Linked DNA regions of Kluyveromyces lactis. The protein of the gene in region 2 purifies or fractionates together with the protein of the main gene of each other region. This does not show direct contact. Links are inferred from orthologs where the notes say so. Each region holds a gene or a part of one and is shown on either strand. Other genes may lie near its edges.

What was found. The genes of interacting proteins can lie anywhere in the genome.
Region 1: the proteins of ATG11 (region 2) and ATG29 purify together in Saccharomyces cerevisiae (affinity purification with western blotting; 4 studies listed by BioGRID, with this or other methods). This does not show direct contact. The link is inferred for Kluyveromyces lactis from reciprocal best matches to the Saccharomyces cerevisiae genes ATG11 and ATG29.

The regions. Positions count from the first base shown.
Region 1 is NC_006039.1:856,107-860,672, forward strand, and holds ATG29 (Atg29p), read left to right. Parts: upstream 1-2,298; coding exon 2,299-2,763; downstream 2,764-4,566. Other genes in the region: REV3 (DNA-directed DNA polymerase), read right to left, coding at 1-1,857; SET6 (Set6p), read right to left, coding at 2,752-3,855; TUM1 (thiosulfate sulfurtransferase), read left to right, coding at 4,307-4,566. UniProt on the Saccharomyces cerevisiae protein: Plays a role in autophagy. Functions at the preautophagosomal structure (PAS) in order to form normal autophagosomes under starvation conditions. Also plays a role in mitophagy and regulation of filamentous growth.
Region 2 is NC_006038.1:1,057,610-1,063,381, forward strand, and holds ATG11 (autophagy protein ATG11), read left to right. Parts: upstream 1-1,248; coding exon 1,249-4,389; downstream 4,390-5,772. Other genes in the region: POL30 (proliferating cell nuclear antigen), read left to right, coding at 1-161; peptide alpha-N-acetyltransferase MAK3, read right to left, coding at 248-784; TAH18 (NAPDH-dependent diflavin reductase), read right to left, coding at 4,391-5,772. UniProt on the Saccharomyces cerevisiae protein: Involved in cytoplasm to vacuole transport (Cvt), pexophagy, mitophagy and nucleophagy. Recruits mitochondria for their selective degradation via autophagy (mitophagy) during starvation, through its interaction with ATG32.

The DNA of each region.
Region 1 (4,566 bases), on a different chromosome or scaffold from region 2:
GGTGAAATGGGTCATTCTATTAGAAGCGTTATTATTTTTTTCTATTTTATTGCTCTTGAACTTGTATCCGAATGGTAGTTCTGGTGTTTTCCCCTCCACCATCGAGAATTTACCTTTGAAAGGCTTCATCGCATTGGCTATTCTTTTAAAAGACGGCTTTGGTCTTATATATTTCCATCTGCTTCTTGCATATACACTTCCTGAAGAAGTTAATGTTGCTGTTGTATCGTTACTACGGATGCTTCTTTTAAAGAGGATATGATCACTTGATAGCTTGAACACTCGACCAGCCATTTCCGTTTGTAGCCTTTTACAATCAAGTGGATTGGAGAAAAATGGATCGTTATACTGAACTTCTTCAATTTGGTTAGCAGATAAACTCTCCTTGATGTTAGCGTGTGTTACGCTAGGTCTGATCATCGGGCGAAATGTTGACTTTCTAATAGCAGATGTTTTTCGTTTTGCCAGTTTCCTAGCAATTGCTTCATTAGCAATATCGTCATGACATGAAGATTCCTCCGCACGTTTGGAACTGACATGTGAAGAGTGCGATTCATTGGAGGAAATATTTAGCAAAATGGGAATATTTTTAGTGTTTGTAGACGCTACTTTTTGTTCACGAACAGAAGTATATTGGTTGTTCAATTTGAATTCTACTTCTGACCAACAGAATACTTTACTACTAGCATTCCTTGGTATTTTGGGCCATAATTCTTGAAGGGCGTCTTTGGTACTTGCAAAAAAATTCTCATTAATGAAAGGATCCACAAAGTTGTCAAAATTTAAAGCTTTTTCTTTGTTAAAAAGGGAAGACATTCGTTTCTTAGCTTCATCAAAGTGTTTCACCAACCTTTCATCTTCTTTCCAATTATATTGTAATTGAGATTCTCGAAATATTTCTTTTAATCCTTCATATTCAGCAAGCCCTTTCCTTTTCCTAAGCAGTTGTATCTCTTTCCATATATCTTTTGTAGAATTAACATATCCTTGATCTGATGTTTGAAGGTCTTTCTTAAGCTCAACAAAATCATGGTGTAAATCCCTGAATTGAATTTCTTCTCTGTTTAAAATGAACTGTGGAATAATATCCATTTCAAGAAAGGTCTTTCCAATTCGATGAAATGGATCTATGTCTAAAACATTTTGATTCGGATGCAAGTGTTTTTTCAAAAAACGTTCCAAAGAGTCCGTGTGCAATATTTCATTCATATCTAGATCAGTTAACAGAACAGGTTGCCGAAAATAGCATTTGGATAGTTTTAACCATCCGCAACCAAATAAGTTATAGTCAGCCATCATTTGCAATAAATAAGGTATATGAGCCTCAAAGACATCCACTTTTGAGGTGAATATTCTGCCATCTCTAAGTAATTCAGAGAGTTTATTACTATATGAACCATTCAAAAGAGTAATTTTATAGTAAGGTTCATATCCTACGTGGTATCCGTAAAATGGAACGCCTTTGACAACGGACACATTAGCAATGTATTTCAGGGAAGTTAGCTTCTCTTTAAAATCTGTTTTGGTAAAAGTTTCAATCATCCGTGTCTCAAGTATTTTGTGCAAACTGGTACATCTATTCCGTATTACTGATGCTTTATCATTCGAATGTCCGTCATATTTGATGAATATGTAAGGGAAAATGCCATGGCAATGAATTAGAACTTTGTGTCCGGTAGATAAACATCCATAGAACCTTAGTACTGGCACCTGAACAAATCGAAGTCCAGGAAGGCTCTTACTAGTTTTACAATCCAATAGAGTTGGGAAGCATTGATAGCTGTCTGAATTATTAATCTGTATGTTGATTTCATTGGAGTCTAAGCTGGAGTCTAAAGAACCAAAAATATCACTCATCTGCAAGTAATCATCATATCAGATTACAGTCACCTTAATGTAGCACAGTTATATCTTCTGATGTAAACGATGTGAATGGTATAAAAGTAATATCCTTGATTAATGGGTGATATACTGTGACCAAACTTCAGATGAGAAATAGCGATGAGCAATCCTGCAAAGTTGGGCTAAACTTGATTATAGTTGGGTATATTAGTATTCATGATTACCCGGATATTGTGATCATTCTGATACGTAATGAATAATCATATTTTAGCTAAAGTGATTCTCGTATACTGGAGTTGTCCGAGATGAAAGTGAGATCTAGTTGAACAACATTCACCGCAAGTTCCTAATCGAATTTAATAGCAAATGTTACTTTAAATTGTTCTAATCTAGATTCTGTGGTATAGGAAGAAATTTGGTGATTCTATAAAATCCACAGTGTGAGGTGTATTTACAATGAATAATGACAACACAAAAGTGTACGTAAGAGTGGCAGGTAAACGACCTGAAAATTTTGTCGAAACAAAACCATTTATTTGGGATTCTCGTCGAGATAAGATTCTATGGACCAAAATCTCAAAAATTGACTCGTTAGAGGATATGGATTGGCAGGAATTGGGGGCTGATTTAGGTGCACCAGAACCCTTTCTCAAAAAACGGAGTTATACTTTATTTCAAAATCAACTAAAAGTTTTATCGAACCAAATAGACGTTACATCTAATACCCGGTCCTCATCAGAGTCACGAAATTCCGTTGACAACAACATTCTCCAAAATTTACAGGCATCAAGAATAATGAATCATAAATTGGATAAGACGGACAACTTAGCCAATAATCAAGAGTCTAGTAGTGAACTTTCGAATTTAAGTGTGAGCAAGTCAGCACTTGAGGACGCATTGATGGATTGTTTACAACTCTGAGAGGCATCTACTACATTTGCATTCAAAAAACCAATTATCCTTCAATATTGCCCTTCTCCGGTTGACGTCAAGGTGTAATATACCCTTGTAATCAATACAGAGCTCTTCTCCCTTCTGCACATCAGTTTGTAGAATGTATTGAAAGACTCTTTCGACCCTCTTTTTCTCCACGTTAGGCACACAGGAATGGTTAAAATATGAGGCCTCCGGATGAACCATATAACCCAGATATTCCCTATCATCGTCCGACTCTGAAGTCTCCCAAATGCCAAATGAGTTTCCATATTCAGAACCAAGGATATGTCTAAAAACTGATGTTGTCATGATATACCTATACTGGGGAGCTAGAGTATAAACCCATTTGAAAACTTTGATCTGAAACTCCAGTAGAACAGGGAATCTCATTATTTTCTCCACTTCATTTGACTGAAGTTTTTCCCACGTATTCCACTTCACACTATTTCGATCCAAATGTGTCATGTTAAATAAACATTCTATCACAAACCTGATACAGGAATAATGATCCTCATCTATCACTGGAAGTTGGTTGGTGGCCTTGGCAAGTTTCATTTTGGAAACTCTAGGCATCCAAGTACTTTCTAAGTCCATCCAACAACTCTCAATTTCCTGATGCATCCGCTTATTATCGTAGTCTTTATACAATTCCGTATCTGTTTCCACGCACAGGCTTTTACCCTGTATCGATTGGAAATGCGTTAATATCATTTCATAATTCAAAATAAGATCAACAATATTCGGTCCACTTAGGAAGAAGTTTTTACACTCTTCAGTACAAAACCAAAGCCCGCTACCTTTGTACTTCTTCTCTAGTTTATGGTTTAACAAGTTCAAATCTAATTTCAGTAGGTCTGCCCAGCTGATCCTAACTTTCATTGGTTTACCACCGTCATATTTCAGGCAAAAATGGCACACTTCCTTACGGAACTCGTGAGAAATACTAGATCCGATCCACTGGGACAAATCTAACAGATGGGTGCCTTTTAACATGCTATTTGAAGCAAAACATGCCCGGCCGCCATATGCTGTACGTTTTACTTCAATTTTGTCATTAATATATACTTCCGCATTCATCCGTGTCCTGTATTATATCTAACTCCCTCACAATTGGCATATATCCATGAATTCTAGTTCGTAATATATAATTCAGAGGATTTTAAGTGTAGATACCTCTGACCAGTTAACATCATATTTTGCCAAGCAGCCCATCTCATTGCATCTCATCGCCTGAAATCAACGCTCCAAATTCCTTTTGAAATTATATCTTCAACTAGATCAGTAGATTTTAAGAGTCACGTGAACTGTAAACATCAGTTCGCGTGGTAGTCTTTCCACTATCGTGTCAAAATTAGATCTTTGACCACAGCAAAAGTAAGGATAGGAAAGGGGAAGGAACTCACAGTTACGACGTAGAAGGAAATCAGAATTTTGCACGTTGTAGTCGCATTATTTGGCTTGCTAAATTTGATTGTTATTGCTCTACCCAATTGCGTTTCCCAGATCATTGAATTGTTTTTAAAACATCATGACACTTTACAAATTATTAACACCTAAAGCATTCGCAGAATTATTATCCAAGGAAACTAAGCGCCGTATTATCCCAGTAGATTCCACCTGGTATTTACCAAACTTGAACAGAAGTGGGAAGCAAGAATTTTTAGATGAAGAACGTCTAAAAGGAGCTGTTTATTTTGATATTGATGGTGTCAAAGACATGAAATCTGAATATCCTCATATGTTACCAGATCTCAGTACTTTCAATAAATCCATGAGTGAATTGGGACT
Region 2 (5,772 bases):
GGTTCGGTGCTAAATATTTAAACGACATCATTAAGGGGTCCTCTCTATCAGATACAATCACTATAAAATTATCGGAAGAAGCGCCAGCCCTTTTCCAATTCGATATCTCAAGCGGTAATTTGCAATTCTATTTGGCTCCAAAGTTCGATGAAGAGGAATGAAATCTCTTTTCGCAATGCTATATATATATATATATTGTGTGTGTATTAAAATGACAATTACTGATATAAAATCAATTCAATTTACTTTAGAGTATGGTGTCGGTAGGAAAGGAATCCATCCCCAGGAATGTGCTTCTCACACAACTTTTCTCTGTAATCGGTAAAATGAGTTTAAACGCATCTCCCTGGTTCAAATAATACCGGAATAATCTCTTCATTCTGATGAAGCCCATATTCTCGTATAAATGCAAAGCAGCTGCATTGCTGCATTCAGTCTCCAACATAATCTCGTCACATTTTTCATCAATCATAGTATCTATAGCTAAGGTAATTAGTTTTTTCGCTATCCCACGGCCTCTATATTGTTTCTCCACTGCTAACATGCCAATGTATCCTCTTAACCGCACTCCATTATGAGTATCGCTCTTGCATACTATACATCCTATGGGCTTACCCGATCCTTCTGCCCATGCCAAATACGTTAGGTTCGGCCATTGGTTTAGGAAAAATCTGTACACGTATATCGAATATGGCTCACTGAGATCCTCATCGATCAATTTCTTGATGGTGGAAAACTCCATGTCATTACTGATATCGAATCGTGTGTACCTTATTTCGACCATCCTTTGCTTAGTTTATCTGCAGTATACTTTCTTATTAATTTTTAATTAGTTATATCAATGAGAGTAGATGCTGCCGAAGCTAGCGAATATAAAAAGCTTTACTTAAAACTGTTTATCTCATCATCTGGAGGTTTAAAACCAAATTTTTATAATAAAAGCATATCAGTCACGTGCTCTTGCTTCACCAAACTGATTCGAAAAAAGATTATATGGACCCCCCGGTAAGTTTTATAGGTGAGAAAACCTGTTACATAGTTTTTCAGTCCCCTGACGTTTATCGGCTCTTATTCCACTTGTTGCTTACGGCTTTAGTACTCCAGATTAGATATATCTCAGCATTTAAAGAATACTCATGATATAGAATCCTGTGAGCTAACACCCCCCATTTCATCATCATTAAATCGACATTGTCCCTTTATTTCTTTCCAAAGTCTTAAGGTTACAATCTGATAATTTTATTAATAATGCCGCCATGCAAGTTGATATGTGCTACATCAGGAGTTTCACACCAATTATCTAATGTTTATTTCCCTAGTTTCTTAGATTTGAAACAGTTTGCAAGTGATACTTTCCAGATACCGCTCGATGACATACTTCTATTGTTACCTTATGGAATGATATTGAAGAAAGCAGGATGGGATTCCAGAAAGCTGCAACAAGAAGGATTGGAAGAAATATACGTATTTGACCGTGGAATATTCAATGAGGAGATCGAGTTTTCCCCAAAGCCAAGGTTCCAACTTTTCAAACCTTTGCCATCGCCGATAAGCGATTCGTTACAGTTGGATAAAAATGTCATTCTACGGAATTTAGGGTGGTTGAAGGCTTTGCAATCAGACGTTGAATTTTTCCAGGACGTTATAAAAGAAACTTATCAAGACGTTCAACGGTTATTAGAGTGTGGTACTGTTATGCTTGAGTATTTGAAAAACTACTGCTATGAAGTGGAGGTGCTGTATAATGGCAACGTTGATTTTCTTAACAAGCTTCACGAAGATGGTGCCTCAAATCAATGGCATTCCTTTTATGATAATATTCTCGGCAATATTAAAGTTTCTAATCAGTTATTATCATCATTTTTCAATTATAGCGAGCTAACAGAGATCGAGGATTCCATTCACCGTCTGGATCGTGAACTAAATGCGAAGTTAAAGGAGTTAAAGAAAAGTATTGATGAATGCTACCAGCAGAGAACACAGTTAATCTCAGATTTAGATGATGTGAAAAAAAATTCAGTTGTCAGTTCTGATGATATGGACAACCAAATGGTTGAACGATTTAAAGAAATGGCTACAGAGATTGAGCTTGTATCAAATCAATATAAAGAAGAGGCTTCTAAAGATGCTTCAAAAGAGAAGTTTGAAACATTCAAAAGTGTACATGTCCCCAAATTACAAACAATTTCGCAAGCAATGTTCAATAAAGCTTCCACGAATTTAGATACAAAAGCTACTGTCCAGCAGAAGTTGCAACAGTTGTACCTTTCCGTTGCAAAATCGCAGATGAGCGTAATAATGGTGAAGTCGGTGTTAACTAAAGACGTTAAGACCAATATGAAGTTTTTGAAGAATGAAGAACTGAAATTATCTCAAGTATTGGATTTGCCTATGTGTTATGGATTGTATTTGATTGAGTTATACAGAGAGCAGCTCTGGACAGACCGTTACTCTCAACTTCGACAACAACATGAATCTTCATTGCAGCATCTTTTGGATGACGAAGTACGACAAAGAAACTCTTGGTACAAAGATTTCCAATGGATAACTCGATTTCTAGATGTTGATAGTTTGCTACCATCATCAGTATACATTCCGTCCATAAGTGATCATAAACAGGTGACATTGTCTCAGATTAAAGATTATATTAATCAACTTGCTTCATTGAACTTAGGTGAACCTACAATTAATTTACTTAAGTCAAAAGTCTCGCAGGCGGAGCTGACAGGCTTGCATTTACCTACAGATTACGCGCTCTCGAAGGACTCGGAGCTTATCATTGAAGGATACAAGGCTCGTATCAAAAAGCTAGAACATTTATTACTTGATGCACAGTTCCATCAGTACGACTCATGGCCAGCTGGCATTCTGAATAAGGAAACTGCAATGGTCCAAATGTTCCGCAATAGTACCGTGAGCACAAAGTTACAGCAAAGTTCAACATTCGATCTCCCAAGTTCCAAACAACAACACGAATCAAATAAAACCTTCGAGGAATTTCAAAACCTGCAAAAGGATATAAGCAAATACTCTGAATTAACCAAGACCCTTGAAACTGAACTTTCAACACTTAAAAGTCAACTTTCCCATATGGAGGTCGAGAAAAATGCTTACAGAGAATCCATGACAAATTTAAACAAAGAATTATCAACGTTGTTGATTGAACGCGAAAACTTCTATTCTGAAATGAATTCTCGTTCGGAGAATTTCAAGAAGCATTTAGGATCCCTCTTTGAGCAAAATGAGGAACTTGTAAGGGAATCTGAAGAATCCCGACGGAAATCCGAGGATTTAAACAAAATGAAAGAAGATCTTCTTGTCAATATGGCAACCCAAGAAGTTCAAGCAGAACAGGAACGGGCTTCCTTGCAAGAAGAAGTTGAAAGTCTTAAAAAAGATCTTAACCAATTGCAAATATCAAAAAGCAAAACAATTGATGCAGAGTTTATCAACTTTAATAAGCAATTGGAAAAAACTTTATATGATGTTTTCCAAGGTAGTATTTTCATTTTGGCGAGTATCGGGTTGTTACTTTCCAAAGATCAAGATGGAAACTTTCAAATTGTTCGCGTCAAAGGTTTAAGAAAAGATCTGGATTCAAGTTTGGCTGATATGAATAGTTCCATGGCAAAAAGTGTAATTGCACAAGAAATAAAGAGTACTTTCGAATCTATAAAGGATCAGATTGACTACAAACCTCATGAAAATTTCATTACCTACATAGAAAAACTATTTGGTAACCAATTGTTCGAAACGTCAGTGATCCGCAGGTTCAATGATATCGAAAGTTTGGCGAAAAAGCTTAGGAAAGAGAACAAGAATAAAAAACTCCTTTTGCAGAAAAGTGCTAGAGACAAAATTACAATATATAACTTCCAACCGGGAGATCTTGCTCTTTTTTTACCAATCAACGATCAGGAATTGCTATTAAATTCTTCAATATCGTCGCTAAATTCTTCATTTTCATCCATTGATTTAAACTCATCTACACAGTCTGTTATGCAACGTCCAAATGTTGTCAAGTCTGATATTGCAGCTAGCATTCTTAACGGAAGCTCTGCTTCTATCACAGAAAATATTCCATTAAGTAAAGCGAACAGGAATCCTGCACTCAACGCTAATGGCAGACCGGATACATTCAATGTTAACACCCAAGATTCGGCCAAGAAGCATGTTGTATGGGCAATTTTCACTGCGACAAATACTGATATCAAATACGTTCTTAGAAACTCAACGTCTAATTACGAATTATTGAAAGATAGGGAATGGGCAATGGGTAGAATCTCGGCCTTGGAAAAGCATGTGGTTGGAGATGATTCAAAGAACCCCTTTAAGTTTCCAAGAAATACCGTGTGGTATGAAGTTGACGCTTTTTTCAATCTTGACTGAACTACCATGTCTCTTGCATATACCTGTCAGTTCTTTCCATTTCTTTTAGATAATGCTCGGCTTCTTCTGCGTTTTCGAAGTTTCCATGTTTTTTCAGGATCTCAACTATAGTCAACCTAACCTGAACTGGCATTTTACCGGAGGATCCACAAATATATACTATGGCAGATTTTTTCAAAATTAGGTCTGCTATTAGACTAGATTGATTCCACAACTGATCTTGAACATACTTAGCATGAGGAGAATTTATGGGATCCCGCGAAAAACAAGTGAATAAATTAATTTTACCTTCTTTCTTCCACATAGATAACGTATCTTCATATAAAAAGTCCTTATCCTTCATTCTGTTACCAAAAAATAAGTACTGATCCTTGAATAAATTAGACTCGATCAAGCACTTCATTGGTGCGAGACCTACCCCCGGAGAAGTCATGATGATAGGTTTGCCAATAATATCTTCATGAAGTAAATGATTATTTTGAAGTTTATAACGAACTGTATCGTTTTCGGTTAATGTAAGTAGGTAGTTCGTGCATAGTCCTTTCCGTACCTTTCTTAACAAAGTCTTATAACGAACAATAGCAATAGTTAGTTCAACATTAGGATCAGATGGTGCACTTGAGATGGAATAAAATCTGGGCTTTATCATGGGTAGATAATCTAATGCGAACTCCCATGGAAGTTTTAAGAATTCAAAATCCTGTATAACCTCTAATACTGATCTTCTTGGTCTATTGCAATAATCATACAAGTCCTGTAGGTCTTGTCCATACCCGAACTGTCTTAGTTTATCCCTCTGTTGTTCTAATAGCTCTTGATCGGTTGGTCTATCTTCGTGAGCATTTGCAAAAGTCCAAGTTTTCATGAAGAAGCTCTGCCTAGGTATACTGACGATATCAAAATGATATTTTAACAAGGTTCTTAGAGTAAGTGGTTTCACAACACCACCATCTCTGAACCGATCACAATTTTCCAGGTCTGTTATTGTAAGAAGTTCATCAGCGACCTTCTTCCAATGAGGTTGAGCTTCGAGGAATAATTCAACGTCATTGTCTGAATTTTCGGGATATAAAGAAACTGTATCGCCTGGATGATAGGCTTCATGATCCTCGGTTTCAAACACAAATTGTCGAACGTCCTGAAAATGATCTTTAGCAGTTATTTGGTTGTTTTTCTTAACGGTTCCATGTCTTATTGTCTCATCTCCAACAAATTGAATCTTAGAATCAGGTAGCTGATCATTTGTCGATCCATTAACAGTGGATATTTCTAATATATTGCTCGGTTTCAAGTAAACATCTTCGGCTAGGCCTACTCTGGGCATCATTTTGCCATCGTGCTTTCTGTTGGGGTACTTCTCTAACATGTAGGCGATGATTCTTT